Mus musculus: one gene and its partners. The protein of the gene in region 3 interacts with the protein of the main gene of each other region in a pairwise test. Links are inferred from orthologs where the notes say so. Each region holds a gene or a part of one and is shown on either strand. Other genes may lie near its edges.

Evidence for each region.
Region 1: the proteins of Lnx1 (region 3) and Dnpep interact in a two-hybrid assay, tested with the Homo sapiens proteins (3 studies listed by BioGRID and IntAct). The link is inferred for Mus musculus from reciprocal best matches to the Homo sapiens genes LNX1 and DNPEP.
Region 2: the proteins of Lnx1 (region 3) and Dctd interact in a two-hybrid assay, tested with the Homo sapiens proteins (2 studies listed by BioGRID and IntAct). The link is inferred for Mus musculus from reciprocal best matches to the Homo sapiens genes LNX1 and DCTD.
Region 4: the proteins of Lnx1 (region 3) and Klhl12 interact in binary tests that used the Homo sapiens proteins (3 or more experiments, as listed by UniProt). The two-hybrid records come from large-scale screens. The link is inferred for Mus musculus from reciprocal best matches to the Homo sapiens genes LNX1 and KLHL12.
Region 5: the proteins of Lnx1 (region 3) and Kctd6 interact in binary tests that used the Homo sapiens proteins (3 or more experiments, as listed by UniProt). The link is inferred for Mus musculus from reciprocal best matches to the Homo sapiens genes LNX1 and KCTD6.
Region 6: the proteins of Lnx1 (region 3) and Pomgnt1 interact in binary tests that used the Homo sapiens proteins (3 or more experiments, as listed by UniProt). The link is inferred for Mus musculus from reciprocal best matches to the Homo sapiens genes LNX1 and POMGNT1.
Region 7: the proteins of Lnx1 (region 3) and Fam118a interact in binary tests that used the Homo sapiens proteins (3 or more experiments, as listed by UniProt). The link is inferred for Mus musculus from reciprocal best matches to the Homo sapiens genes LNX1 and FAM118A.

Annotation. Positions count from the first base shown.
Region 1 is NC_000067.6:75,308,065-75,311,041, forward strand, and holds the end of Dnpep (aspartyl aminopeptidase), read right to left. Parts: intron 1,403-2,977; coding exon 1,235-1,402; intron 646-1,234; coding exon 595-645; 3' UTR 501-594; downstream 1-500.
Region 2 is NC_000074.6:48,137,458-48,140,957, forward strand, and holds part of Dctd (deoxycytidylate deaminase), read left to right. Parts: intron 1-721; exon of another isoform or gene 722-1,324; coding exon 1,325-1,421; intron 1,422-2,885; coding exon 2,886-2,964; 3' UTR 2,965-3,500. UniProt on the Homo sapiens protein: Catalyzes the deamination of dCMP to dUMP, providing the nucleoside monophosphate substrate for the thymidylate synthase/TYMS.
Region 3 is NC_000071.6:74,626,404-74,629,903, forward strand, and holds part of Lnx1 (E3 ubiquitin-protein ligase LNX), read right to left. Parts: intron 1,959-3,500; coding exon 1,717-1,958; intron 1,098-1,716; coding exon 945-1,097; intron 1-944.
Region 4 is NC_000067.6:134,486,531-134,488,951, reverse strand, and holds part of Klhl12 (kelch-like protein 12), read right to left. Parts: intron 1,943-2,421; coding exon 1,784-1,942; intron 1,309-1,783; coding exon 1,210-1,308; intron 18-1,209; coding exon 1-17. UniProt on the Homo sapiens protein: Substrate-specific adapter of a BCR (BTB-CUL3-RBX1) E3 ubiquitin ligase complex that acts as a negative regulator of Wnt signaling pathway and ER-Golgi transport.
Region 5 is NC_000080.6:8,220,576-8,224,070, reverse strand, and holds the end of Kctd6 (BTB/POZ domain-containing protein KCTD6), read right to left. Parts: intron 1,885-3,495; coding exon 1,198-1,884; 3' UTR 501-1,197; downstream 1-500. UniProt on the Homo sapiens protein: Probable substrate-specific adapter of a BCR (BTB-CUL3-RBX1) E3 ubiquitin-protein ligase complex mediating the ubiquitination and subsequent proteasomal degradation of target proteins.
Region 6 is NC_000070.6:116,149,124-116,153,317, forward strand, and holds the start of Pomgnt1 (protein O-linked-mannose beta-1,2-N-acetylglucosaminyltransferase 1), read left to right. Parts: upstream 1-1,394; 5' UTR 1,395-1,494; intron 1,495-1,941; 5' UTR 1,942-2,000; coding exon 2,001-2,120; intron 2,121-2,307; exon of another isoform or gene 2,308-2,446; coding exon of another isoform or gene 2,447-2,500; intron 2,501-2,696; coding exon 2,697-2,811; intron 2,812-2,953; coding exon 2,954-3,072; intron 3,073-3,585; coding exon 3,586-3,651; intron 3,652-3,739; coding exon 3,740-3,853; intron 3,854-4,194. UniProt on the Homo sapiens protein: Participates in O-mannosyl glycosylation by catalyzing the addition of N-acetylglucosamine to O-linked mannose on glycoproteins.
Region 7 is NC_000081.6:85,050,562-85,054,061, reverse strand, and holds part of Fam118a (protein FAM118A), read right to left. Parts: intron 3,369-3,500; coding exon 3,240-3,368; intron 492-3,239; coding exon 206-491; intron 1-205.

The DNA of each region.
Region 1 (2,977 bases), on a different chromosome or scaffold from region 3:
GACTTAGAAGGTTATGAGCCACCTTGTAGGTGCTGGGAACTTGAACTTGCATCTTCTGCAAGAGCAGCCAGTGTTCTTACCACTGAGCCATCTGTCTGGCCTCCTGAAAGTCTGGGAGATCAAAATCACAATGAACTGCCACTCACGCTGGGCTGGAGGGGTGGCTTAGTGTTATTCATTTGTTATTCTTGCAGAGGACCAGGGCTCAGTTCCCAGCATTCACATGGTGACTCATAACTACAGTTCCAAAGGAACCAATGTCTTCTGATCTCTATTGGCACCAGGCACATACATACATACAAGCGGGCAAAACACTCATACACATAAAATAAATCTAATAAAATGACAAGTGGTGTCAAGTCCCTTGTGAACAGGGGCTTCTGGTTCAGGTGCGATGCAGGGAGGGACAACCTTTTACCTGCACCTGACCTTCACCTCTGGTCTGGTTCCAGAGGGTCAGGCCAGGCTCACCCTGCCGCTTCAGAAAAAGCACAGAGAGCTGGAGTGAAAATCTACTTTAATAACCAACATCAGCGAAACTGAGATCCTCCCCTCTCAATTGAAGGGGTGGAAGACAACTCTTGGCGAGAGGCCTCAGTCCACTAAGAGGTTCCGGCTTACAGAAGGGAACAGCTCAAAGAAGCCCTAAAATGCGAGGCAGAGGGAACCAGGAATTAGTGAGTGAGCAGACGGCAGTGCCCCACCACGCACCTTCCATCTCCTCCAAGTCTAGTAACAGAAGCACCGAGGCTTCTATGCCTCATGCACTGGCCTGACTCCTCATCCCTCGGCCCTCTCCAGCCAACCACTTTCCTCTGAGGCCTTGAAAACGAGGAATGGTATGGCCGGTGTTAAAGGCTTGGTAGGCACTGTTGGGGTCTGAAGGGAAGAAGTCAGGTCACCCGGGATGAAGCATACCTGTGATGGACACTGAACCCATTTTCTCCCTCCTCTTCCCCACAACTCCCTCTTCCCTGTCGCCTCTCCCGGCAGCAGATTCCTCTAGCACAAGCTCTCGCCATGATATCCTGCTTTATCACTGGCCTCAAGTCAACAGCCAGCTGGCCACAGACTAAAGCCTCCGAAACGCTGACTTCTTATGAACTGCTTACCTCACATGTGTCAGTGATGGAAGCTGACACAGGGGCCGTTTTCTATTTTGTAGTCCACAGCAATCAGCCCCCCGCAGTGACTAGCCACTTACTGGTGGAGCAGAGGGCCAGGTGGGAGTTACCTTGAAAAGGGTGAGGGTCTGGAGAACTCCAGTGGTACAGGCTGTCTCCCGGATAGAGTGCATAGCCAGTTGGGGGCTGCCTAAGTCCAGCACCCGAAGCCCCAGTCGAGAAGCCAAGATAGGTCCAATGGTGGTACCACACGGGGAGTCATTCCTGACCATGAGGTCCTGGTGAGAGGAGGAGAGGTCATAAGCTAAACCCTAGATGCGCTCACTAAGATCAAGGAGGAAGCTACCCTAGAGCCTCAGGGCTGGCAGAGCATCTAGTTCAATGTCTTCTACCTCTTTGTTACTCTCACACACAACGTGAAACCCCAATACACAAAGGAAAACAAACTTAGTAGTTTTAATGTTCTAAAAGTTCCTGCTGGGCTGGGGGTATAGTTCACTTGGTTGAGGGCTTGCCTAGTATAAATGAAGCCCTGGGTTTGATCCCCACCTGGGCAATGGTGGTGCACATTTGTAATCCCAAGACTTGGAGATGGAGGAATCAGGAGCTTAAGGCTATATTCTGCTTCATACTGAGTTTGAAGCTACATAAGACCCTATCTCAAAACAAAACACCAAGGAAGTCCTAATATGGAGCTAGATTTTAAGATCTGTAAGTGTAAAACAGAAATATAAAAGTCAAACTTTTGTCAGGTGAGAATTACAGTATTAACCCATTGTACTGGCTGGTTTGTCTGTCAGTCATCACAGCTACAGTCATCAGAGAGAAAGGAGCCTCAGTTGAGGAAATGCCTCCATGAGATCCAGCTGTAAGGCATTTTCTCTTAGTGATCAATGGGGAAGGGCCCAGACCATTGTGGGTGGTGCCATCCTGGCCTGGTGGTTCAGAGTTCTGTAGGAAAGCAGGCTGAGCAAGCCACGTGAAGCAGGTCAGTAAGCAACACCCTTCCATGGTCTCTATGTCAGTTCTTGCCTTCCGGTTCCAGTCCCGCTTGAGTCCCTGTCCTGCCTTCCTTCAGTGTAAGCTGAATTAACCTTTTCCTGCCCAGCTTGCTTTTTGGTCATGGTGTTTTGTTGCAGCAATAGAAACCCTGACTAAGCAAGGTATCGTTGTGACAGACCTGACCATGTTTTGGGGATAATTGTGGAAGGACTTTGGAACTTTGGGCTAGAAGAGCCAGTGAGTGTTAAGACCTCAGTGGGAAGTTCTGTAGGAGCTTGGAAGATAAGAATGTTGAGAGAGTGCAGAAGATGGAGGCCTGGCTTATGAAACTTCAGAGGGAAGAGTAGACTCTATCAGGGCCATCTGCTATTTTAAGATTCTGTGGTTCTGGTTTGCTGGGACTGATAGTGAAACTTTTACATTACAAGGACAACTGATGCTGGTCAGCTGGAGCTAAGAAATTAGTAGTGATTAGGAAGAGACCATCCCTGAGGTGAAATCTTCTGGGAAGTGTTTTCTGAGAGCACAGGGAAGCTATGTTTCAGAGGTGGCCAAGGTTGTACTTTGTGCTGCAGGCGGACTTGATAATGTGTAAGAGTCACCCAGGTGGTACTGGTTGTGAAGGCATGAAGGGGTCGTGGAGAGCAGCTGAGGCTTGGAACTAAGAGGCACTGAGAGGCCACTGGTGAAGGTGACTGGTGAAGGTGCAGCCTCAGTGGCAGTTGAAGGTTCAGGACTGAAGGGGTCATGCAAAGAAGTTGAGGCCCGGCCCAGCACCAGAAGAGCTTCAGAAGCAAACTGGTCTAGGTGAGTCTCTTCTCCTGTCCCTCTTGCTCTCAACTTGGGCCTTC
Region 2 (3,500 bases), on a different chromosome or scaffold from region 3:
ATGCATGCAGGCGGGTTTGATCTTCCCATTGTTATTGTTTAGATCGAAATTAATTGCCCTATCAACTTTGCAAGGTATTTCTCGTGTTTTGCGTCTGCGTGGTGCCAGGTATTCCGAGACTTAATTGCATCCTCTGTGATTCTTAGCATGTTTTTAATTTAGTTTGCAACTTCTTAAACTGCAAGCTGCCAAAAAACAACACAGGCATTGAATATAATTACTGTCAATTTACCGTCCTCTGACATATTGTGCATAGATTAGGGGGGAGGGAGGGGGATGCACTTCTGTCAGAAACAAGGTCAGCTGGGAGTCTGTATATCAAATTTTAATTTGTATCTAATACATGGTGGATACGTGAGGATCTAAGCATATCTTTGCATATAAATATCACGAGGCTCAGACATGATCCTGAGTTTTTCCTTATATGTTGCATCTCCCATAACCTGCCATGCTGCAGTCTGTCTGCTGCACCTGTTTTTGAACTGTCACATCTAAGAATGAGCTATGCTTTATCTCCATAAAGCTCTCGGTTTGAGATTTAAAGACTTAGCATGTTGAGCCAGATATATGGGTTAAAGGGACTGTTTATCACGAGCCCCTGGTGTGTCGGATCAGAAGTCGGCTGCTAGCGGAGCACAGCCGCTGTTAAGGACTCTCTGGGTGTCCGTGCAGCTGCTGCCGTTAACCTGTCCTTTCGGGGTGCTTCCTTTGCTGGTTATAGATGAAGAGGTCGGCAGTGGGAGCGTGCAGCGAGCAGTGTGTGGGCTCTGTGGTCAGCCGGCTCATCCCCTCTGAAGGGAGTACAGAGCCCACACAGAGCAGCCCTCGGGACAAGGCCTGGGGACTCCTCACTCTCAGGTTCATGCTGCCTCGGGAGACCACGAAGCAGATCTACCCTTCTTGGAACTGGGCTAAGGTGATGGCAGAGCCTTTCTCGAGTAGGCCTGGTGCTGCAGATCTCTGGATTAGCCAGCACCCTCCGCTCCCACATTAGCCTCTTGAGTTAAGTAGTTGCTTTGTGAGTGAAAATACTTCCTTACCCGAAGTAAAAAAAACTTGTTAATTGGACCAAGGCTCGACTGTTTGACATGTTTTCCATTTGCATTTGTAATAAAAAACATGAAAAAAAAATCCATAAAGACTGGAAGGTGGCTTAAATACAGCCCCCTCTGCTGTCCTGGGAAATGGCAGATGAGCATTTTAGTGACTGGACATCGACTGTAAGCTCACTGGAAAAGGGTAATTAATCACAGGCATGGGGCTTCGTCTCTGCCTGTCTTCCATGGTTTCTGTCTGTGCTCATCTCCCACGGTTACCTGTTCAGGTATAAAAGAGGTTATCTTCATGTCGGATAAATACCACGACAGCGAGGAGACGACAGCTGCCAGGCTCCTGTTTAAGTTGGCTGGGGTTACGTTCAGGTAGGTCGGGGGAACTGGTGTGGACACGCATGTGGCCTAGCCTGAAGTTTAGTGTCTCCCATGGGGTTTTGCCTTCCACGAGTGGCAACGTCTTTGGAAGTGTGATGGCACGAGCCTCTGAAGATTATTTTAGGGTATGGAGTTAACTCCAGAAGTATCTGGAGACAGCCTGTTTAATGATTATATTTTAATATTAGTGACTTTCCAAGGCTTAGACTAATTATGCAAGTAGCAAGAAATTTAAAAATTTACAACTTTTGGGCTGGTACCGCTGAGCCTTTATGAATTTTTGAATATGTAAGGGCTCTAGCAGGGATAGTTTAGGATGAAAGCGGCCCGCCAGGGTGAGACACCAGGAATTCTTTCCTGAGCATCATTTTGAATTAAGAGCAGAGGCCCTTCCGATCTCGGCGATTGTCTTTGCAGAGTGGAGGTTGTGTTTTACTGGGAAGCTTTGCCATCTTTTATGAGTGGCCAGAAATCGTTTTTAGAATGGAAAGCCTTGCGGATTGTCACTCTTTCTGGCCAGCAGTGATACGACGCGTACAATGGGCAACCCTGTTCCTTGTGCTCTTAGAGACAGGGGATGTTTTAGTTTTTTGTTTTCTGAGGCAGGGTCTCTGAATGATCAGGCTTTTCCCAAGCTGCTATGTAGCCTCCTGCCCTGGTCTCCCAAATGACAAAACCCACCATGCGCAGCTAGAACCAGGCTTTTTGCATGCTGCATGTCCTGTGTGCCCTAGTTTTGCCTTGATAAAACACTGACTGAAACCAACTGAGGCAGGAGGCTTTCTTTGACTTTCGGGGTACAGTCTCACACCATGGGAGCCAGGGCAGGAAGTCAAGGCAAAGCCCGCAGGCAGGAACGGAAGCGGGGGCCACAGAGAATGCTGCAGACGTGTTCTGTGATCTCCTTGTTTTAAAAAGTCCCCACGTGCCTTCAATTATTGTAGCATGTTGAAGACAGACATTTAGAGGACTCATTATTTGCATTTGTAGAACTTGATTTTAAAAAAAATCTGCCCTCACTCCAACGGGTTGTCTTTCAGTGTGTCTGACGCAGAAGAAAATCTACTGTGTTTGCTTTAGAGCTGCACAAATTGGCTGCAGAAATTTCCTAGAAAATAAGATAAATACAATGGGGAAACTGTAATCGGATATCATGTTGTGCTGGTAACTTGTTAGAAATCCTTTGACTCTCGGATAATTCATGAACTCCGATAGTTGAAGCACGCGCAAGCCAAGCCACCCCATGCCTCGTTCCTGTCACAGTCTCTTCTGCTCCGTGTTCCGCTCAGTATGGCACACTATAATTGGCTCCTATAAAGATAAAATATCAAGAGAATCTCAGGGCATTTTTTTTCCTTCTGCACTAGAAATACAGTTTAAACTGAAATAAACAAATTGCTCTAACTACTCATTGGATAATTCAGTTCCTTTACATATTTTGTTCTTCACTTTTAGAAAATTCACACCGAAGTACAGCAAGATTGTCATTGACTTTGATTCGATCAATAGCCGACCGAGTCAGAAGCCTCAGTGAGTTTCGTCTCGTTAAAGCCCCAGAAGAAGATGACACCCCACCACGTGCGTGCACACACACACACACACACACACATACACACACACACAAGGGGCTCCCCAAGCCTTTCATCTTGAAGTCCCACGGAACTTTTTAATAACACAACACTAAACATCTAAAGAATATAAAACTTGGAATCTTCTCACCCGTCACGTGGAGCTCCATCTGTTTCAGCTGTTGATGTAGTTTGGTTTGGAAACTAAGGGACCTGCCCACAGGAGCTGGAGTGAAGGTCTCTCCCCTTCCGCCGAGCCCGTCTGCCAGAGAGTGTCAGCTCTGTCATCCACCATATTTCGACAGCCGCTCCTTGCTGCTACACGGGGTAGGAGGACATACAAATAATTGCTTCTCGTTCTTAGCAGGGATGAACAGGCACACTGAGGTGAACATCTGGCCCAAATGAAGCATACCCTGTCACGCCCTTGGGAAAACAAATAGGACCGAACAAAGCTACATGAACACACCTGCTGTAGAGTTGAGGGGACCTCTCACCTGGT
Region 3 (3,500 bases):
CCGTGTGTGTGTGTGTGTGTGTGTGTGTGTGTGTGTGTAGGTACGTGTACACTAAGAATACTAGTCTAGCCAATGTGCCAGCTTCAGTCTAAGATGCTTTTTAAGGGCCCTCAAGATGGGTCAGTGGCTCAAGGCACTTGCTGAATTCCAGTCTAGGACCCTCATGGTGAATGGAGAAAACCAACCCTTGCAAGTTGTCCTTTGACAGTCACATGAGTCACATGCACTGTGGCACGTGAGTACATGTGTATGTAGGTGTGCACAGCCACCTCCACCCACACACTATAAATAAATTAGTATAGAAAAATCAAAACAGGGGCTAGAGAGATGGCTCAGTGGTTAAGAGCATTGAATCCTCTTTCAGAGGTCCTGAGTTCAATTCCCAGCAACCACATGGTGGCTCACAACCATCTGTAATGGAATCTGATGCCCTATTCTGGTGTGGCTGAAGACAGCTATAGTGTATTCATTCATTCATATATATATATATATATATATATATATATATATATATATATATAATTCTTTAAAAAAAGAAAATCAAAACAATAGGCAAAACAAAGGCACTAACTTGCTGTCAGTTTATATAGAACTCGCAGTGTCTGTGGCTTTTTCTGTTTTAGCAGAAGCCTGTGCACAGTGCCATTGGGTGAGAATGAAGTAAAATGCTTTTCACACTCTAACTATAATCATTATTTTCATGTGCATTAAGCCAGCACCTGGAGCCCAGGAACAGACGAATTTTTCCTCACCTGTGTAAAAAGACAACAAAGAAACCAAGAGTCCCTGTCCTTACTCAAATGAGGAGGTCACTCAAGGCTATGTACCCTTGGAAAGACAGAGGTCACAGAGGGTGGACATTGGTCAGGCTACCACCATCCCTCAAGTGACTCTGGCAAACTAGCCTACAGCCAGCCTCGGGGTGCAGTGGAGATTCCCTTTACCTTCGGGGACAGTGGTGTTCTCAGAGTTGTCCCTGCCCTGGTCAACATGGTTGGCAACGACACTCCCGCTCTTCGTCCTCCGGAGAGCACTTAGAGCTCGGTTGATCTTCTTGAAAGACCGGCTTCTCATAGTGGAGCGCTCAAAGGGCCGTGCTGAGGAGAGAGAGAGAGAGAGATCAATGGAGATGAGAGGCACAGGCTCACCGCAACCATCTGCTAGCTAAGCGTGCTGCTGTGTGCCTGTGATCTCAGCACTCAGGAGGTAGCCAGGAAGCTCAGGAGGCCAGAGCCAGCCCTGGTGCAGAGTGAGGTGTTGCTTCAAAACAAGCAAAAAAGAAATCTTTTCGGTCTAAAGCGTATGAACTGGGACATTGGGATATTAAAACAGTGATCACTATTTACCTGTAGTTCTAAATTTTTTATGTAGTAAAATAACATATCTCACTATTTAAAAAAAAAAAAATCTCTTCTCCCCCTTGGATGGGAGTGGATAGAACATTACTTTCCAAAGAAGGCAGGGGAGGTACCCTCTCTATAGGAACTGTAAATCATCAGACCTCACCTCACCCTCCATTACCAAGTCAGATCACATGGTCACTTAAACTTTCATTTCCTGTTGGAGAACTGGACATTGAGTGTCGGCCAAAACTACCAGAACCATTTCCCCTTTAAAAAAACATTTTGAGAACTTTCCACCACGGGTATTCTACAGAGGGCAATCCCAGGGAAAACCACGGGCCCATTCCCAGACACCGTCCCATTTTTGACTCACCCCTAGTCCGGTTGCTCCGGCCAGAGTCTGAGGAGTTGGCTACTGGCTCACCATCCTCCACCGAGGACACGTAGGCAGGGTTGTCTAGGCCAGGCTCATCTGTCATTAAAGAGATGGTGGCGGCTGCAGAAACCTCTGGGGAGAGCGTCGTTGCCATGAGGCTGGCGCAACCATCAGGACAGCCATCTTGAGAGCGCCTTTTCCTGTCCTTGGTCAGGCCATAGTGGGAGGCCCCTTTGCAGCTGGAATAAAACCAGAGGGGCACTTAGAATGTTTAGTCAGAACTTCCCCAATCAATACACATGCTTGTCCATGTACACCCCTCCCTTTCACATATAAGAATTCAATATATGCTGGCCGGCCAAATACATTAATGACTTGAGAAATAATTTGTTTTTAATTGCCTGTTATATTCTCCTAGCATATAATCTCTACTGTCAAGCAGTAGGAAATCACATCTACCTGACTGGGGTTGAGGACGGGGATCTCTAACATTTGGACTTGGTGACTGTTTATTTTGACTACCAAAACCCCTAATCACATTCTCACCCCTTTCTTTTGGGTTAGATCCCACAGCATTGGACATAAATACTCAAGGCCACTCCCAGATCCTGTATTTAGCCGACCATGGAAACAGAATCGCACTCGCCACAAAGCCACAAGGTTTACTCGGAACTGCTAGTCTCTAGGGGGCGGGTGTGATGGCTTCCATTCCTGTTGCTAGGTTGGTCTGGTAGCGCCTTGCATGCTCTTCAGAGGAGTCAATGCCAGGAGCTCTCACACACTGAAAGATGTCACATCTCACAGCATCGGGGGAGAAAAACATCTTTGATTTTTTTTTTTATTGACAACAGAGATCTTTCTGTCCATCTCTCTATCCATTTTATTCACTGCATTTTCCCAAAACCCAAACACTGTAAAGTAGACCATCATTGGCACATTAGGGAGAGGGAGGAATGCCCAGGGCTCTGAAGACCAGCGTTTGAGCCTATCTGGATCCTTAGTTTTACGAACATGTTTCCTTGCCACTGGGCCAATCATTTCAGCTCGCTGACAACGGTCTGGTCAGAAACTGGTGATGATTTAGCTAACACACTGTTCTGCTGGAGAGGGTGTCAGATGACACAGCTGCTGATCCGGCAGAAGTCATTCTAAAGAACTCCTCTGAGTGGCATTGGCCTGACACAGGGCTACTGATTATGTTAGTCTTCTCCGTTTATCACACAAACCCTGGACGACATTGTCGTGGGGGTTGCCTCAGACCATCAGAAAATGCAGGTATGTATACTATGATTCATAACAGCAGCAAAATTACAACTATGAAGTAAGAATAAAACTAATTTAGTGGGGCGGGAGGTGACCACAACATGAGGCACTGTACTAAAGGGTCGCAGCCTTAGGAAGGCTGAGAACCACTGCCTTGTATGATTGAAGTCTTTATTTTTCTACTTATTTACCGTCCTTTTCTATACTTATTATTTGTGGGTGTGTGAGTGTGAGTATGTGTGTGTATACACACACATACATAGGAGGAGCTCACAAAGAAGTCAGGGAACAAGTTGTGGGAGTCAGGTCTCTCCCGCCACGAGGGTTCTAGGCATCAAACTCTGCCCTCAAGCTTGTCAGCCCTCAACCACTGAGCCATCGCTCTGGCTCTTTTTTTATTTATTCTTTTTTTTTTTTTTAAGAAAGAGCACAGTAATCATGTTGTAACTGAACTACTTAAAATAAACATTTATTTATTTATTTATTTATTTATTTACTTATTTATTCATTCATTCTTT
Region 4 (2,421 bases), on a different chromosome or scaffold from region 3:
TAGGGCTACTCCAGCACCTGGGGAAAAGAGAGCATCAGCACATGAATGGCAGTAAGCCTAGCATCTGAACCCAGTAACAAACACGGCCGCTAACGGCTGCACTGTGGAGATGAGGGATGCACACATGTCAAAGCACTACAACAGTGTAATACAGCAAATGTCAGTGTGTGCATTGGTCAACCCTTAGGTTAGGGCCTGAAATTCTAGCAGAAGACTGACATGGGTCTCATCTCTGCTGTCACTAACTCACAGTCTATCTCTCTTCTGTGTTAGAGACAATGAGAGGAACCAAGGCCATGGCTCTGCTGTGATCTCTGTCCAGAGGCAGTTACATCACAGCCTATTCAACTAAGAGTTCTCAGCTGTTAGAGTTAGATGTACCTCTATGATAGAGTACTTGCCTAGTATATGCAAAGCCCTGCGTGCAGTATTCAGAATTTAAAAAAAATTATTTTTAGGCATTAGAGATTTTATCTAATACTTATTGCCATTTATTATCAGGTATATGTCACATGTGTGCAATCCTGGGATTACTTGGAGTCTAAAGTTAATGTGAGCTATATACTACATACAGTGAGATCTTAGATTAAAAAAAAAAAATCACCAATGAGTGTAGTGGTATAACTTGAAGCCAGAAGCAGGAGGATCACCTCATAGCAACTTGTACACTGGCCAGGACTGCACAGTAGGACCCTCAAAACAAAGTCCAGCCAGGTTTGTCAGTGCACGCCTTTAATCCCAGCACTCAGGAGGCAGAAGCAGGTATAGGTGCATCTCTGTAAGCTCAAGGCCAGCCTGGTCTACAGAGTGAGTTCCAGGACAGCCGGGGCTGCACAGGCAAACCCTGTCTTTAAAACAGCAAGACATCAACATCCAAAGAGTACAAAAAGCAAAGACATAGACCTCAACAGGTCTGTGTACAAAAATATTTATTTAACATGTACTGCACACACAAAATGAGGCTAGTGGTCAAACTACAAGAATAGAAAAAAGTACTAAAGAATAAGGAATCGCTGTCCTCAAATGGACAATCTAGCTCAAAGTTTAACCTACCTTCCTTCATCCTAATGTTGTAGGGAAGGCAGAGGTGGAGGAGACTGGACTGTGACTCACATTCACAATGGGTCTACAGTGAAATAAGAACTACAGTTCTGTCCTACTGATACCACACCCAGTAATTAAACCATCACTTCATAGGTTTGGTCTTACCAGAACGCTTGGTGGCCATAGGCGTAACGTTAGTCCAGTGTCCTGTATGGGGATCATATTTCTCAACTGAATTTAATATGTTCAAGCCATCATATCCTCCTGAAAGACAAAGTGGAGAACATTCCAAAGAGAAAGGTAGATTACCAGGCTCATCTTAGTTGGCCTTCTGTGAGTAATTCAACTGATTATTTATTTATTATATGTAAGTACACTGTAGCTGTCTTCAGACACCCCAGAAGAGAGGGCATCAGATCTCATTACAGATGGCTGTGAGCCACCATGTGGTTGCTGGGATTTGAACTCAGAACCTTTGGAAGAGCAGTCAGTGCTCTTAACTGCTGAGCCATCTCTCTAGCCCTAATTCAACTGATTCTTTCAGTTCTATTTTTTCCAGAGGTCCAGGTCAGAGAATATGCAACATCCTACATATTGCTTACAAGAAAAATATAATCCTATTCATGGACAATATATTGAGAAAAGTCAGAGTTTTTGTTGATGCAAGTATATGCACTTAATTCTGCCCTCCAGAGTCTGTAACCACTAAGCTCTCTCCAGCCCCATCCCAGGCTCATACCTAGACAATAGATTATTCCGCTGGCCACTACTAGTCCTGCGCCCTCTCGAGCTGTCTGCATATCTCCCAGCATACTCCACTGATCGATGTTTGGGTCATACCGCTCCATACTTGTATGACGCCTACTTCCATCAAAGCCTCCAGAGACGTAAATCATATCTGCTCAGAGTGAACAAATTATAGACTGTTAAATTAAGAATGAAAAATACCTAACAACTTTTATCTCTACAAATTACCCATTGTTAAGATGGGGGAAGAGGGACTGCACACATGAATGTAATTACAACACTTGGGAGGTTCAGAAGGAGGTTCAGGAGTTCAAGGCCATTCCTGGCTACAGACTAAGTTAAGCCTTAGCTATTTCAGAACTCATCCCAGGCAAACAAATTATTATATTTCTTCAAGTTGATTTTTATTATTCTTAAATTTCCCATGGTGTATATTAATTATATATGGTAGTGTATAATACTACATAAGCACATTCTTGTAAATGTATATTTTGTATATATTTTCTGAGACTTACGTGACTTAAATGGTAAGTCATGTAAGTCTCAGAAGGAAGAAAGGCAGTACAAACAAGCATTTAAAGCCCATGCTGGTAAGCCCAAGTTTGAAACAAGGGTGAGTTACACGGGGAA
Region 5 (3,495 bases), on a different chromosome or scaffold from region 3:
TCTCATGATTAACACGCTCCTTCCTGTAGCTTTCAAGCAACAGAATCACATCGACTCTGAAAGCGGTGACGACAATGAAATAAGCAGATGATGGGCACACCCTCCCCAAGCCTTTCTGAGCCTTCTTTCTGATTGATTTCTCAGGATGGGACTTACCTGTCATAACACACACTTGCAGCTACCACAATTCCTGAGGGGGAAATGGTGGGAGTCACTTTGTCCTCACGCACAGCACAAACTGGAATGAGTCACATCCATAGCTGTGACAATTGAAAACTGTAATATTCACTGTAAACCCGATCTGAAAACAGGGTTGCACTCTTTAGACAAACCCGCTTATCTCTGGTTACACAGCTGGCTTTATAAAGTACAATCTAATGTCCCACAGAGTCCTGTCAACCCTATCACAAATGTGCTATAAGCACTTTAATTGGGACATAAAGGATGCATACTTTCAATGAAGAATATGATTTTCCCCTTATATAGCAATAAATACAACCTTTAATATTCATATTCCATTTTTTATTAGATTTTTCTTTCCTGGTAGACAGTACCTTGGGAATGAAACTGTACCAGGCATAAGGTTTCTACCACAGGGACATTTTGTATTGAGAATCCAATATAAATATTTCTAGTCAGACATTTCCATGGCTACAGATATTTGGTTGCTTGATTTATATGCATAGAAAGAAACAGTTGTCAAAACTGTAGAAAGCAGTCCTTAACAAGTACCCTCAGATGACTGGGCCAGTCTTCCTTTAACACCACAATACTGCCTACTGGTCTGGAAACTAGGTCGCCCTACATGATATTCTGATTTTTCTCAAAGACATCATGAATACCCTCTTTAATCTTTTATTCCTGTTTTTAGCCTTCCAGTCGAGTCAGGAACCACGTTCTCAGAAATCATTTTATCACTGTTAAGGGTAGATTATATACCATAATGATTTTCAGATCTCTTTTTATAAAAAAGGTTTCTAGAGACTCGGAACAGGCACATGCATACTTGGGAACAAAACAGGGAGGAGACTGCTCACACACAAAACTTCCTTCTGGTCCTCAATGCCTTCAAATAAATACAAAGACTGAATCAAAAAATTAAAAAAAAAAAGAGGGCCCACACTAAAACCCAACAACAGTCTCTTCCATGTCCCAAAACGTGAGCTTGCAGGAAGTTCTCTGAGGGCTGGCCAGCAGTCAGTCGTCCGTCTTGCGGGCCAGTCTACAGAAAGTCCAGTTGTGCTCTACTGTGTTCTCATTGGCCCGCTCGCTCATGTGATGCACCCGAGTATTGCGGATCGTGAAACCTTGCTTCGTGATGTACTCCATCAGATGGACCCGGAGAGAGACTTCCTGGTGGTAATCGCACGGTCCAAAGGTGAAGGAGACCTGGCAGTCTCTGGTGTCCATCATGTGCTTATTCCACTTGGTGAAATAGTTTGAGATGCCTTCGAGTAAGGAGTGGACCTTTGTGGTGATGGTTAACTGGGTGATGATGACGGCCACCGGATTGGAATATTTAGAAAGCTTCCGAGTGCTAGACAGCTCTACGACTTCTTCAAAAGTATCCATAGGATACAGAGGCCTGGGGTCATTGAGACACTGAATCAAGGGTTCGATCTGGTAGAAATCAGCCTCTTTCCGAAGCAGATCAAACTCCTTAAAGTCCAGGGGGAGTGTCAGTTCTGAAGTCCGTAGGAAGTTAAGGACATAGCGGAAGAGCGGTCCGTCTCGATCAATGAAGTAATTGCCTTGAGGGTCTCGGGCTGTGGGGAAGTCACCCCCAAACATAGCTCCAAGCATAGAATCCGGGTAGCGTGTCAACGTGGTAAGCGATGTCGTGTACAAGTGTCCACCTACATTTAATGTGACTGGGTCACTCATCTGCAATTTTTAAAAATCCAATTAATTACCTGAAACCTTAAAATCTTAACTAACAAATTAAGAAAATCAGTATTAACAAGCAAAGCATAACACCCTTTCAAGCTAATATATCTGGCAGCACAAGGGGACTAAACGGCTTTACTTCCAATGATAAAACCCACCCAAGAGAAGGGCTTCAATATTTGGTTTCAAACAGAATAAATCCAATCCTTCAAAAGTTTCCTATAAGTCTACCAGGTGTGACCTTTAGTGTCATACAGTGAAGTCCAGCATCTGAAGAGCTTTTTGGGTCAATCTGCCTGCTTCTACTTCCCTAGTGCTGGGATTAAAGGTGTGTGCCACCACCCTTGGCAAAACCGTCAGTTTTTAAAAATTTAACATAAGCTAGAATATAAAAATAATCTGATAATGTAACAATAATTAATTTAGGAATTGTGTTGGGTTTTTCTCCTCAAAGGAGTCAGAAGATCTAACTTTTTTTTTTTTTTTTTGAGACAGTGTTTCACATAACTTAGGCTGGCCTCACACTCATTGTGTAGCTAAGGATGGTCTAGAATTCCTGATTCTCCTGCCTCTGTCCCACTGCTAGGACAGTGCTAAGACCACAGGTGTATACTGTCACACCCAGCTGTGGAAAATATACATATATACATATATATATATATATGTGTGTGTGTGTGTGTGTAGATATATATATATATATTCATGTCTCTTATATGAGTGTGCTGCCTGTGTGCACGTGTGTGTACCTCATTTGTACCAAGGGTATGGCTCTAGGAACTGAGAGTTAGGGACGGTTGTGAGGCATTGAGTAGGAGCTAGGAACCAAACCCAGGTCCTCTGTAAGAGCGTAAGTGCTCTTAACTGCTGACCCCTGTCTCCACACCCAAATGTATTTTAGAAACAAAAATTTGTTTAAAATCAATCTGAGTAATTTTTTTCTGGAAGCAACAGTTTCTTCTTTTCTGGCTGCTGTTGTTGCAGTTGTTGTTGTGACAGCATCTTACTATATAGATAAAGCAGGCTAGAAACACACACCTCCTGCCTATCCCCGGTGCTGTATTACAGGCCTGTGTCACCACGCCCAGGGACTAAGTTGTAAACACTAGATTAAAAAATACATGGTTTGGTGAACCCAATCTAGCTCATCTTCTAGCCCCAAACAAACTACCACATGTCAAAGGGCTGGGAGCAGCTTTAAACTGTCATATCTGACTGTGTATTCATTTTTACAACATTCAGGTTGTAATCTGACCTTTAATTCTGAGAAGCAAGCTTCTCAAAATAACATACCTTCAGCTTTAGAAACCCTATTTAAGAAAAAACAAGGAATGGCCTTCAGGTACTAAGAAAGTAAAATATGTCTTACCAGATAAAGAAGAAAACAGGGAGGCATGGACCCATGTGAGGAGAAACACTGTCTAACTAGTAATCCCTTTACTACAATGAAGAAGTCTTCATTCCATTATCCATAGGCCCTTTAAGCATCACCATCCCATGAAAAGAGAATTTAAAAAGCAATATACAGCAAAGACTGAAACATCGTGGTGTATCTGAAATTAGTGATTGCCAATAGTTACTAGGGGAGCAGGAGAGATGTCAGGAGTTAAA
Region 6 (4,194 bases), on a different chromosome or scaffold from region 3:
AGGATCATGAGAAGACAAGATCATGGACAGTAAACCTGACGACAGAAGAGGGTCAGAGGCTAATGTGAGAACTTCTGCTGACTTGATTTTTTTAAAAAGACTTATTTTATATATGTGAGTACAATGTCATTGTCACTATCTTCAGACACACCAGAAGAGGGCATCAGATCCCATTACAGATGGTTGTGAGCCACCATGTGGTTGCTGGGAATTGAACCCAGGATCTCTGGTAGAGCAGTCAGTGCTCTTAACCACTGAGCCATCTCTCCAGCCCCTGCTTTTTTTGATGTTTAAATAAGAAAAACTTCAGTATAAAGAACATGTAAAAAACCAAAACATTTTTTGTTTCTCAGAGCAGGTTGCACTTCAAAATCCTGACTTGTTCTAGAACTCATGTTGTAGACCAAGTTGACCTTGAATCTATGGCAATCCTCCTTCCTCAGTTCCTAAGTGCTGGGAACCCAGGAGTGAGCTACTGTGGGTCTTAGCATCTTGTTATGAAAGTGGACTTGCCTCACACAGCCTTCCCTCACCTATATAGGAATGCAACACCACTTCCAACCTGGCAAGCACTGCTATCATATCGAAAGATGCCAACACTTTTGGAGTCCTCAAAAAAAAAAAAGTGTAAATAAATAAAGTGTTGCTGGGCATGTTGTACACTCCTTTAATCCTAGCATTTAGGAGGCAGAGACAGGTGAATTTCTGTGAGTTCAAGTTCAGCCGGGTCTACATAAGGAGTTCCAGGATAGCTAGGGCTATAAGGAGATAGGTAAGCTCCTGCTTCCTCAGAAAAGAACTAATCAGGAGCTGGAGATGGCTCAGTGGTTAAGCACACCTGGTGCTCTTCTAGAGGAGCGGTTGGGATCACAACTTTAATTTGGGCTCCAGGGGTATCAGACTGAGGTCTAGTCTCTTCAAGGAGCGCCCGCACTACCTGCACATGCACACAATCAAAGAGCATTTTTGGTTTTCTTTAAAGATGGGGTAGTCACGGTGCCTCTTAATCATGGTTTATGAAATCGAGTTAACGTAAGCGCTCAAAATAGTAGCGGAGCAGGTTTCTAATCCTCTCCTCCCCGGCCTGGAAACAGCCTTGCGGGGCTGGGCCAGGCCTCGGAGCTGCAGCCCTCTGATCCTGGCTTGCCCAGTGAGCTGGCCCGAGGTCCCGGAATGCCGCTTGCTCCGGCTCCGCGGTGCGGGGATGTGCTCTCGCCCGAGGTCCACTCGTGCGGACCGTAACCCTGCCAGACAGGCAGAGTACGCCGGCTCCCCTCGCGCTGCAGACGCCCGGCCGCGGCCGCCGCCCTAAGCGCCGCCCGCCGCCCTCTCACCCCGCGGCGGCGGCGGCGGCGGAAGCGGCGGGGCGGGCCGGCCGGGCCGGGGCGGGGCGCGAGAGGCATGGAGGAGGCGGAGGCCGCGGAGGCCGCGGCGCGCGGGGCCGAGCTGTGCGGGCCCGAGCGCGGCCCGAGCGGGGCCCGGGGCCCCTGAGCCGTAAGTGCCTCCCAGTGCGGGTCTCAGAGGGGTGATGCGGGCTGGGTGGGTCTTCTGAACCTTCCGGCGTCCCTGATCCCTGAGAGGAGAGGAGTTGAGCCAGATGGGAAGAGACGAGGGTGGAGGATTGGGGTGCAGGAGGTCGCTGTTACTGTTCTACCCCAGGGCTGGGAAGGACTGGGATTTGGACCTTTTAAGGACTGATGAATCGTTAAGAGTTGATTGAGTTACTGGCCTCCGCCGCTAAGGCCCTGATCCTGCACACAGTTCCTCTAGCCCCAGGGAATTTTCAGGTGATCCAACTCCTCCAAAGATTTTCTGGCCAGACCCAGAGAAGTTAAGCCACGTTGCCTAGGGCACACAGCTCAGCAGTTTGCTGAGAGAAGTCATTCCAGAAGGCATTAAGCTTTGGGACAAGCATCTTACTCTATGTGACTCTATATATAGTCCCCTCAGATTCCTGAAGTCATGGACTGGCCGGGACAGGGGTGACTCCCTAATCCAGTATGGATGACTGGAAGCCCAGTCCCCTCATCAAGCCCTTTGGGGCTAGGAAGAAACGGAGCTGGTACCTTACCTGGAAGTATAAACTGACAAACCAGCGGGCCCTGAGGAGATTCTGTCAGGTAAATGAGGTCCCACGTGTCCCAAAAGCTGCTCCCTAACTTTACTCTAACAGACTAGGAACTAACTACCTTGGCTATCAAGAAGAGGCAGCAAATTCCTGGAGGGGAAACCTCTGTCTGTTACAGCCTTCTCAGGCAGTGGTTTAGAGCCAGGATTCTGGAATCAGAACCCTAGTCTGACCTCGGCATCCAACAGAAACCAGAAGTCTGGTCAGGCAGGCTTTGCCCCTGACACCCAACTGTCAGGCAGTGTGGCCCACGTTCTTCTGTGTCTCTGGCTCTCCGCTGTGGTTCTCGGGTCCTAAATCCATCTCAAGGAACTAGTTATGGAGGGGACCAAGGAAGTCAAGGACTCAAATGGGAAAATACAAGACCACGGGGTAGGAAGGACCTGGTTGGTGGAGGGAAACCTGCCAGGGAACATTCTCTGGGAGATGGCCACAAATCCGTGTCCTTATTGGGAACCAGAAAGTGGAGAGACTGGTCCCTGTGTCCTCTTCAGCCAAGGTCATACTTTCAGAAGGCCCTTGTGATCTGGAGAGGGCTGGCTGCAGTCACCCCCATTTTCCTACTCAGACAGGGGCTGTGCTTTTCCTGCTGGTGACCGTCATTGTCAACATCAAGTTGATCCTGGACACTCGGAGAGCAATCAGCGAGGCCAATGAAGACCCAGAACCAGAGCAAGACTATGGTGGGGACCAGCTGAGGGTGCGGGAGGGGGGCGGGGGACGGGACGGGACCTGGGGTCTCATGGCAGGAATGGCGTGCACATCCCACAGGGTGTGACTCTGCTAGTGAGTCATCGCCCACGCCTGTTACAATTCCCTCTCCAGATGAGGCCCTAGGACGTCTGGAGTCCCCTCGGCGCAGAGGCAGCAGTCCCCGACGGGTGCTGGATGTGGAAGTATACTCCAGTAGAAGCAAAGTGTATGTGGCTGTGGATGGCACCACGGTGAGTTGGACCAGCATCTTCAGTCCATTCAGAGCACGGTGGGAACCGTCACCCTCTGCCTATTGGCTTGGACTTATTAGGATTAAGTAAATGGTCTATGAAATGTCTATGTGGCGAAGGCTTGGCAGTGATCAGGGGCGTTAGCGGGCAGCTAACTCCCTTATTTACTTATTATGTAACCACTTCCTAATCCCTTTGGCTTCAGCCTTGGGCCAGCCACTGGGGTCCTAGAGGTAATGGGACTTGCCCTTCCCAGAGAGGCTCACTGGTAGAGAGTTAGCAGAGACAGTCCAGGGCTCTTGGTGCCAGGGAAGTGTTAAAAGGTGGATGGTAAAGCGACGAAACCTTTGCCGATGAGGGTACCATGGGGGCTTTCTGGGAGAGTCAGCCTTCTGTCTGAGTTAGAACCGTAGACAGTGATAATAGAGCAGGCTGCTGTGGTTCCTGCTTCTAAGATGGAGTCACCGTGAGCGCCAGGGTGAATAGCTGGATTCTGTTTCTGCCGCTGTGTAGGTGCTCGAGGATGAAGCCCGGGAGCAGGGCCGAGGCATCCATGTCATAGTCCTCAACCAGGCCACGGTGAGCTTAAGGATGGGAGAGCCCGAGGGCCGAAGCTGGGCTTGCTTTGCTGATGACCCCGTCTCATAAGAGGGTTTGCTCCTGCCAGGGCCACGTGATGGCAAAGCGCGTGTTTGACACATACTCTCCTCATGAGGATGAGGCCATGGTGCTGTTCCTCAACATGGTGGCCCCCGGCCGCGTGCTGATCTGCACGGTGAAGGTCAGTGAGGCCCCCTAGCTCTGGCTCTGCTCGGCAGCAGAAAGAACATCTAGAGAAAGGTGGTCAAGTTCCAGACTGAGCCTAGCTTTTTGTTTTTCTTTTGTTTGTAATCAGTACAGTGGTTTCTGAGCTCTGTGCCAGGTACTGCAGCATTGAATGCTGAAGATACAATACAAGACAGATTCCCTACCGCCCCGGAGCTCACATCTCAGTGGTGGCGATGAAAACAGTCAGCTCAGCCAGTAGTCTCAGGAAATGAAATAAAGAGGGGGATGATGGGGCTGCATTTTAGGGAGGGAGCACCTCTTTTTGGAGGGTGGCAGGATGCAGGCGCCGGGCAC
Region 7 (3,500 bases), on a different chromosome or scaffold from region 3:
GCAGATCAATGTGTCCCACATTTGGAGCAGAAGTCTCAAGTTCTACTTACAGACTGTTACCTATACCAATCACCCCTTTTTCAACTTTTAAACTCAGAGGCACTAAAAAATAACTAGATTAGTAAGTCTTATAGACTGGGCAGAGGAACAGCTGAAGGAAGAACCCAGGAATTCTGCTTGGAGAAGTGACGGCAGAGCTCCACACCTGGACTTCGCTGCTTGCAGATCTGAGTGGCAAGGTCTTGCACATATCCCGGGAAAAGGTCAAAACAGTCCCCGTAGGACACCACTTTAATTCCATGCAAAAGCATATCTGCCTGATGCTTAAAGAAATGGTCTTCGTTTTCCTTGAGCACTACCATGTAGTGCTCCAAGTCCACCTTATTTGGCACGGAGTACAAGAAGAGCGCCTGGAATATCTGGTCCCGAAGTGTCTCGCCACAGCCCACGAACAGGAATGACTTGGTTCGGTAGAGATTTTGCAGGACTTCCTGGGGAAAGCCAATAAACAGAGAACACCTCAGTGAAACCCAGCAGGAGCTCCTCATTGACACAAAGGCCCCCGTGTTCCTTAACATCCTATCTTGTACCCAGCAGGCTTCCCAAGAGCCATCCTAAGGCGCACCAGGGAGACTAGGGGCTCCTGACATACTCAGAGCAACCCCGTGCAGTGATCTGTGTGCAAGGCATGGTGAAGCTCAGCTGAGATCTACCTCTCAACTAGGACAAGAAAGAAAACCAGCAGAGGCAGGATACTGGCCAACCTGGGCAGCATGAATGCACCTCACAGTGAAGTCAGCTTACGATAGACCCTTGGCTCGCCAGGTCAACTCACCCAGGTCAACTCCTGGATATTTATTTATTTATTTATTTATACACACACACATTAAACTTTTTTTTTTTTTTTTTTTTTTTTTTGGTTTTTTGAGACATGGTTTCTCTGTGTAGCCCTGGCTGTCCTGGAACTTACTTTGTAGACCAGGCTGGCCTCGAACTCAGAAATCCGAGTGCCTCTGCCTCCCAGATGCTGGGATTAAAGGCGTGCGCCACCACTGCCCAGCTAAATACAATCTTAAATTAAGACATAAAAGAAGAGCATTAACAGTTCTGCTGGGTGTGGCAGCATACACCTTTGGTCCTGACACTAAGGGGGGCAGAGGCAGGCGGATCTCTGTGTGAGTTCCAGACCAGCCTGGTCTACATAGCAATTACCAGGCCAGTTGGGACTACATAGTGAGACCTTGTCTCAAAAAACTGTTTTTCTTGGTTCAAAATTGTGTACAAACACCACCCTGAGACTAATGAGTGGACAGATGAGCCAGATCCCGCAGGAAGAGGGGGTAGATAGATTTTAGGGAGTGAAGGCAAGAGAGCTGTGAAGGGGAGTAGAGGCAGTAACCCCAGAGCAGCCTATGAGGGTCACCCAGAGGAGCAGTGGTCGGTGACTCGGACCTGAAGGCCCCATAACAGCAGCACTCTCTCAAGGAGGGCCTCAGCAGCATCAGCTCCTAACTGCCCAGCATTCATCTGCTGATGCCATCCCTGCTGAGAGAGGCCAGAGAAGAGCTCTGCGGAACACGTACCTGATACTGAGAGAACTACCACACAACACACAGACTCAAGTCAGACTTGTAGATAGCCTGATATGGTGGCGCATGCCTGAAATCCCGGCACTTGGGAAGCGGAGGCAGGAAGACCAAGAGTCAAAAATACTGAAGGCAAACAGACTTCACGAGACGCTCAGAAACGGCAGGAGGAGTATGGCGTATGCTAGGACAGAAGAGTCGGCAACATACTGCACATACTTCATGTGAACATCTGCTGGGGCAGGGCTGGGAAGATGCTCAGTGGAGTGGTTAACAAAGAGCAAGTGAAGCTCTTCCAGAGACCTATTCAATTCCAGGACTCATGGAGGGCACCTCAACCACTGTGACTCCAGATCCAAGGACCCAATGTCTCTGGTCTCTGCAGGCAACTGACACACACCCTCACAAATCTTTTTTTTTTTTTTTCCTTTCTTTTTGGTCTTTCTTTTTCCTTTTTTTAAAATTTATTTTATTTATATGAGTACACTGTCACTGTCTTCAGACACAATAGACGTGAATAGACGTGTGCATCAGATCCCATTACAGATGGTTGTGAGCCACCATGTGGTTACTGGGAATTGAACTCAGGACCTCTGGAAAAGTAGTCAGTGTTCTGTTAAGCTGAGCAATCTCTCCAGCACTCTTTTTGGTGTTTTAAGACAGTCTTTCTCTGTGTGCCCTGGCTGTCCTGGAACTCCTCTATAAACCAGGCTGGCCTTGAACTCACACATGTGACACAAGTACCCAGCCACAAATCTCTCATTAAAAAATGAAGAAGAGCCAGGCAGTGGTGGCGCACGCCTTTAATCCCAGCACTTGGGAGGCAGGCAGATTTCTGAGTTCCAGGACAGCCAGAGCTATACAGAGAAACCCTGTCTCGAAAAACACAAAACAAAACAAAACAAACAAACAAACAAACAAACAAATGAAGAAGACCTGGCATGGTGGCAAATACCTTTGATCTCAGTACTCAGGAGGCAGAGGCAGGCAGATTTCTTTAAGTACAAGGCCAGCCTGGCCTACATAGCAAGTCCCAGGAAAGGAAGGGCTCTGTAGAGAGACACTATCTCAAAAAAAAAAAAAAAAAAACCTAAAAGAGTGAAGAAAGGCTTCCGTATCATGGGGTGCTCGCTGTTGGTCTGCTGTGCTGGCATGGAGCTAAGGACATGCACATGCTCGGTGTGAGCTCGGCCAGGGCTCCATTCTTAGCCCTAGTTTTAACCTGAGAGACTGCTATGTAAGGAAGGTGAGAACTGCAGATACAACAGCCCTGAGTAACATGGAGGGCTGACAAATGGGACAGAGGAGAAGCAGACTACAGACTGCAAACTGCAGACCAGAGACTACCAGCCTCAGGCAAGTCCCTCGCCAGGAAACTGCAATGCGCTAGTGCTGGCAGCAGGAGAGAGGTTTCTAAGGAAGCACATGTGTCCTCCTCCAGCAGGTGTGCACTGAGCATCTCTTCAGAATGCAGCGCCGTACCAGGGCCTAGAGATGTGGCTACAAACGGGAAAAGATGGCCCTGTCCCCAGCAGCCATGTGAAAGGGGAGTTAACCAGAGAACCAGAATGCCTGGGAAACACAGCCAGATGGCTGGCTGCCACCATTAGTACCCCAGAAGAGGCACCCAGAGCCTAGTGAAAACAGGCTTACCATGACTTCCGGATCTTGAGTGACATCTTTATAGCCCGATGGATCCAGCACCATCCCACAGGGGTCCGTGTACAAACCATGAATATGAAGAACTCCATACTTAATATGGCCTCTTGCCCACTGAAGAACCTATCAAAACCCAAACCAAGACAATAAATAGACTGCTATTATTTCAAACAAGATATAAGAACAAAATTATCCAAAAAAGTAAATGTTTCCATTCATAATTATACCTTTAAAACAGAAACTAGTTATCCTGCC